2 linked regions of the Canis lupus familiaris genome follow. The main gene of each other region encodes a partner of the protein of the gene in region 2 in a complex. Links are inferred from orthologs where the notes say so. Each region holds a gene or a part of one and is shown on either strand. Other genes may lie near its edges.

Region 1 (4,191 bases), on a different chromosome or scaffold from region 2:
TGCCTGACCTAGAGTGGGCGGCCACTCCATGGCTTCAGCCAGTTGTCACCGCACAGAAATGTGGACACCGTTTTGCCAGTCAAGGCCCGGATGCAGATTTCTGTGCGAACAGAAATCTTTTGTAAAAATGTTGGCAAGGAACACAAATCGTTTAGAAATATAGGAGCTGGCATATCGGGGAGGGTAAGGCATCATCCAACTGAAATAGGATTTCATGATGGAGGGAAAATAGGGAAAGGTGGAAGGTTAGGGGCAGCTGCTGGAGGACCTCAGACTGTCACACTCCAGGAGCTTATCACTGGTCTTCCAGGTCTCAGTAATCACCAAAAGGATGGGAAGATAAGACCGGCATTCTTTCAAGATGCTTTGGCAGTTGGATGGGGGCAGGGCTGAGGGTTAGGGTGATGAGTTAGAAGTCTATCATTCAGCTAAGGAGGGGCAAAGCAGATGACAAAGGCCTGTTTGACTTTGTTCTTTCTCCCACCGGACTGTAAACCCCCAAGACGGCAGGGCCGGGCTGTCTCGTGCTCGCTGCGTCTCCAGCACTAAGCACAAGGCCTGCTCCATAAATACTTGTTGAGAGAATGAATGAGAGGGAGGGAGAGGAGGTGAGGGGCACTCTGGAGGACTGAGTTTAAATGGGGTGTGTGTGCGCGCGCGGTAGAGGCCGGTTCCCTTTCCTGAAGCTTCCCCTGGGAGCCTTGGGAAGGGCGCGCCTCCACGAAGGGATCAGGGGCACCGGCTTCAATGAACACAAAAGACTCGGCCGGTCGAGGCCTGCAGATGCCTGGCGCTTCACGCGGCCTCTCCTGTCCACAAAAGGAGAACACGACGAGCGCCTTCCAAGGGCTGATGGGACGGTTAAGCGAAGGTTGAAGGCTGAACCATTTCTGTCCTTCCCCAGGTCCGCATTCCCGGAGCGCTCAGCCACAGGGGACTGACCTCCGCCTGCGACCCGGCGGCGATTCCTTTTGGAGGAGGGAGGGAGGCGATGACCCCGGCGTCGGCTCGGGTTCCCCCGCCGGGTTCCCAGCACCCCCGCACCCCGCACCCCAGCTCCGCCCTCTCGTCTCCCACTGCCTCTTTCCGCCCGCCGCCTCCATTTCCGCCCCCGTCCGCCCGCTCCCTCCTCGCTCCAGTCCGCCGCGTCCGGGTCTCCGCGCCCCTTCCTCCTCCCTCCGTCAGCGCCCCTCTCGGGCGGCCGGGGCAACCCCGTGCCCGGCTCGTCCAATGGGGAGCCGGCGCAGGGGCGGGGCGGAGCGCGGGTCGGAGCGGAAGTGGTGACCGGAGCGGAAGTGGAGCTGCCGCCACCGCCGCCGCCGATTCCGGAGCCGGGGTAGCTGCTGCCGCCGCCGCCGCCGCCGCCGCCGCCTGTGCAGCCGCCGCCGCCGCCGCTGCCTGAGGAGTGGGCTTGGGAAGGAAGCCGTCCCCGCGCTCGGAGCTTCGCTCGCAAGCGTCTTTGCCTCCTGCCGCCCTCCCGCGGTGAGTGCGGCGCGGGGTCCGCCCGGGGCCCCTGGGGGCCCAAGCCGAAGCTCCCCCCGGGGCGGCGCCCGCCGCAGCGACGCGGGCGACCCCGCGGGTGGGCCCTGGGAGGGGGCGGCGCGCCGCTTCCTCGGCCCCGCGCGGCCGCCTGCGGCGCGGGCCCGGCCTGGCCGCGGCCCCTCCCTGTTTCCGGGGCCGGGCCCTTGGCTCTGGGAAAGGCCCGGGCGGCCCTCGCCGCCTGCGGCCCTGCCCTGCGGGCGGGGTGCGGCTCAGTGCGAGGCCGGAAGGGACCTCGAGCCGCGGACCCCCGGCCCTCCCTCTCCCCACCTGCCTTCGATGCCCGCGCGACCCCTCCCTGCTCCTTGGGCGGCGAAAGCCGACCCTTTAAGCCCTGTCACCTCCGCTCCTTGCTTTCTGGTTTCCAGAAATTGAAAATTGACTAAATATGGGCTGGTTTTCGAGCTCCAGGGCCTCTGTTGACTACCCCCTGGCTGGGCAAGGGGTTTAACCTTGGGAGAGAGCAGAGGGAAAACCCCCCTCCCACTTTGCAGTAAAGCCATTTCATCATCGTTCGCTGGTTTGGAAATCTAGCAGGACCTGAGATCCCCTGAGAAGCACACAGGGTTGAGGTCTGCATCAAGAAAATGCATTTGTTAGAACCGCTTACTGAGTCAGGTCTGATCCCCAGGGGGGGAAAAATAATAATAATAATAATCAGAAGCTGAAAATCGGAGTGTTTTCCCACGGTATTTACCGTCATTTAATGCCAAAGTCTTTTGTGTCCTCACCCCAAATTCCCCCATACTGTGTGTTAGCACGTTTTTTTTTTTTTGTTTTTGTTTTTTAAGGATTGAAATTTGCCTGGTGGCCTCCCTGGTGGTAGGGAAGGGGTAGGATTGGTTTGGGCCCCTTTTCTTCAGAGGATTGAGTACATCTTTGTCTATTGCAAATGGAGAACTGCATGTAATGGGGTTTTCAAAGGTGGCAGTATTGGTAAGACAATTTGCCAACCTTTCTATAAAAACGCATGGCTCTTGTCCTTGCCTTCACTCCTTTTCTCTTTGGTAAGACTAGACAGCATCAGGCTCTGATTTTACCTACTCTCTGTGGGTGATGGAATTTGGCGAGAGGATGTTACGAACATACAAAATCAGGCGGCCACAGGATCCAGAAAGATGAAGCACTTTCAAAAAATATGAAAATTGTCTGCATTTCTCACTGTGTCATAGTTGTTCATATAAAGCCACACACACAGGCAGTTTATAGAACTGGACACATGGCTACTCAGCTTTTTGCATTTTCTCTTTGGAAATGTATATGCATAAATAATGCTTGATTCCTAGTGATTTTCTTCTCGACTGCCTTATCACACCCCATTTCTCAGGAATATCTCAGTTGTCTGAGCCCTCATTTTTCTTGGGTCTGTTTCCTTAGCAGCAGGCAAGATGGTGAGGGTAAAACCTGTCAGTTTTTATTAGACCCTACAGAATTTTGGGTGTGGTCTTCCAAATGGAAGAGTAGTAATCCAGTAGCAACTGCTGAATGATTTTCCTAACCTCGTTTTTCACTGAGATAAGAAACCATTCACCCATATTACAGATGAAGTCTTTATGAGAAATAAGGTAATTTGGCCTAGACCACACACCTAATTTTTAGATTGAATATCCTCATTCATCAGGAGCAAATATTTCTGGACTGTAAGCCCCTGGAGTATGGCTCCTACCCTATAATCTTCTGTACATTTCCCATCATGCAGTGCTTGTGTTATGTTGAAGCCATTTTAGAATTGGAGCTCTATAGATCAGGGAGGCAGCCTCCATAAAACCAGGCTGAGCAAATTCCCATGATGCTTGTTCCGGGTGGCAGAGTCTCCAGAGATTTGAGCTACTGCGAAAAGTGCCTTTTGCCCATTTGGCTGTGGATACAGAGACAGAGCACTGGACCTGGAGTCAGATAAATTTGATTCAGGTCTAGCCTGCAGCGTTTTCTAGCTGTGGGGTCTTCAGCATATTACTTAATCTCTGGTTCTTAGTTTCTCTGTCTCAGAGTTGTCTTGAAGCTTTTTTACAAACTATAATATAAACTGTTAAGTATAAGCTGTTTTTTTTTTTTAATCAGAATTCACTATTAATGGCTTTCTTTTTTCCTCCAGCTGCATTCTGATGAGACCCATCCCTGCTTTGTATACATTTTGCTTTCAAAAATTGATGTTCTTATAGAACTTTATTTTGTGTACAGCATCTTCTGGGTTTCTAAGCCTGTACAATGCAAATGGTAATAGTCTTTGTTGTGTTGTTATGACAAGCGCAATGATTAAAATAAGCATTTGGGATACAGTAGGTGTTTAGTAAATGTTATTTGACCATATCCAAGAATACACATATACAGAGACTGGATATAGCATATATCTATATGCTGTATAGCATAGACACATAGAATCCATCCATTTGATTTATTCGCCAGCTGATGAGGTAGCATCAGGGCAATTAGTCAATAATAATAACAGTTACCACATTGCCTGCTCTGTGCCACACTTTGTTCTAAGCTCTTTATGCATATTAATGAAGTCTTCATAAGAACCAATGATAGGTAAGTACTGTTAGCCCCATTTTACAGATGAGGAAACTGAGGCACAAGAGTTAAATAATTTTCTCAGAAGTACACACACATAGCACAAGGTAAGTGCCAATCTGGCTCTAATGATAAGTG
Region 2 (2,165 bases):
ACAAAGGGCTTTGGAGTTGGGGTATTGAAGGATGACTAGGAGTGTGAAGCCCACGAGGAGAGGGGAGGGTGCTCCTCCGCAGGTCAGGAGGCTCCGAGGGTGGGCAGTGTGGCCGGCGGGGTTGGCCGGGGCTTGGGGAGCCTGGGGAGGAGCCCACTGTATCCTGGGTACTAAGGAGCCAGGGGGGATGTTTGAGCAGCCCAGGAACCTGTCATACCTGCGGGCTAACCTGACGGGGGCGGGGAAGTGAGGGCCGTGACTGGAGGCCCCAGGCAGGCGCAGTGGCACCCCCCAGGGCTCGTGTGTTCCTCCGCGGTGTAAACGAGGCCCTGTTCTGTCCCTCTGGTTCCCCCGTGCGTCGTCCTTGCCGGTTTATGCCGCCATCCCGTGTGCGCGTCGACACCCCCCTGGCTTCCGCCCTCGGGAACCCACAGCCTGGAGGGGAGGTGGTCAGGTGGCGGCCCCCCAGGTGCTGACAGGTGCTGGGGGCGGGGGCGGGCGACAGGAGGCGGAGCCACGGGGCCCAGGAGCGGCAAGTTTATTTGCTTGGACAGAAGAGCCACGCGAAGGCCTGGCGGCTGCACAGAACCAAGCTTCACAGAAGGGCAGCGAGGAGGCCGCGGAGGGTGGAGCGCGGGGAAGCGAGGCCACGCTCGGGCGTCTCAGGTCCTAGGAGCGTCCCCTACCCCCGGGACCCCAAGCAGGTCCTGACAAGGATGCGCTCAGAATGACCGGCACCTGCAGCACAAGGGGTGCTCCGGGGCCAGACACGGAGGCCGCGTCCACCTTCTCGGGAGGACGGTGCACACGGGAGTCCAGCGCGGCCAGCGCAGCCTCACGCCTGCTGGAAGGTCCTGGCATCGGAAAGCCTCGGGACACGCCGGGCCCGCTCTCCTGGGGAGGCCTTGGGCCTAAGTCCCCGGTGTAGAAGCGGGAGTGGGGGCGCTGGAGAGGAGGTGCCCTCATGCCGGCCCCGTCTGGAAGAGGCTGTCCGCTCGCTTGGGGAGGGCCTGTCCGTCGGGGTGTCAGTCCCACAGCAGCGCCAGGGCGCGGCCCACAGAGGCCTCGGTGGCCTCAGCCAGGTACTCACAGCACAGCCAGTCCTCCAGGCCCGGCGCCTCCCCGGCCGAGGCCCGCTCCGCCAGGTGCAGCACGAGCAGCGCGCGGCGCACCTGCAGCCACGGCCCCAGCGGGGCTCCCTGGCGGTGCAGCTCGGGCCCGGGCCCCCAGAGCAGCGCCTGCAGCGCACCCCGCGCCTGGGCGGCCGAGGGCCGGGAGCGGCCCAGCCGCGCCGCCAGAGCCTCCAGGCCCGCAGCCAAGGGGGAGGCGCAGGGCTCCGCGGGGCCGAGTAGGGCGCGGAGCAGGCGGCCCAGCTGCAGCGCGTGGGCGCCCGGGGGGCCCGGGGGCCGAGGGCGGACGCGGCCAAAGTCGGCCAGCAGCAGGCGCGGGGGCCCGGCGGCCGCACAGCCTCGGGGCGCCACCAGCAGCAGGTTCTCAGGCCGCAGCTCGGCCAGGGCGGCGCCCCGCGCCTCCAGGTGCTCCAGGGCTGACGTCAGCTGCAGCAGCAGCACGGCCACCACCCAGGGGAACTCCTCGGGCCGCTGCCGCCTGCCCGCCTCCTCCAGCCATTGCGTCACCGTGAGCTCGGGCACCTCGGCCGCCAGCACCACCGGGCCTCTCCAGGGCACGTCGGGCAGCGCGCCCTCGGGCACCGGGCCGCACAGGCCCTGCAGGTTGAAGTGCGGGGCGAGCGAGGCCTGCAGCTCCAGGCCCCAGGGGTGGGGCTCCTCCGCTCCGGGCTTGGACACCTGAGGGGCAAAGGGGGGGCCATCAGGGCCTGACCACGGGGAGCCCGCCCAGCGCCACCCGCCCCCGCGGCGCTTCGGGAGCCCAGTGGCCGCGTGGCCTCCAGGAGTTAGATGTTCATTCGGATGCCTGTCGCCGTGTCGCCGGCGCGATTTCAAGGAAAGCCGCGCTGAGGAGCATGGTGTTCGGGGGTCAAAATGCTGCCTGCCAGAGGCGCCGGGGACAGGGCAGCTCAGGTGCCACGGCCGGCCTGTCCAGTAGGATTACGACCCAGGCCACCGTGTAATTAAACATTTCCAGTAGCCACATGTGGAAATTGATAAGAAGTGTGAACATGATTTTCTTTTTTTTTTTTTTAA

The links. Proteins that work in one complex are often made in the same cells at the same time.
Region 1: the proteins of PEAK3 (region 2) and YWHAB are in contact, whole or in part, in a cryo-EM structure (PDB 8DP5), measured with the Homo sapiens proteins. The link is inferred for Canis lupus familiaris from reciprocal best matches to the Homo sapiens genes PEAK3 and YWHAB. Residues at the interface, in NP_940934.1 of Homo sapiens: Arg66, Thr67, Gln68, Ser69, Leu70, Pro71, Thr72, Arg73; in NP_003395.1 of Homo sapiens: Val48, Lys51, Asn52, Arg58, Lys122, Arg129, Tyr130, Gly171, Leu174, Asn175, Val178, Glu182, Ile219, Leu222, Asn226, Leu229, Trp230.

The regions. Positions count from the first base shown.
Region 1 is NC_049245.1:32,932,585-32,936,775, forward strand, and holds the start of YWHAB (14-3-3 protein beta/alpha), read left to right. Parts: upstream 1-1,290; 5' UTR 1,291-1,482; intron 1,483-4,191. UniProt on the Homo sapiens protein: Adapter protein implicated in the regulation of a large spectrum of both general and specialized signaling pathways. Binds to a large number of partners, usually by recognition of a phosphoserine or phosphothreonine motif.
Region 2 is NC_049241.1:57,237,194-57,239,358, reverse strand, and holds the end of PEAK3 (protein PEAK3), read right to left. Parts: intron 1,809-2,165; coding exon 1,026-1,808; 3' UTR 522-1,025; downstream 1-521.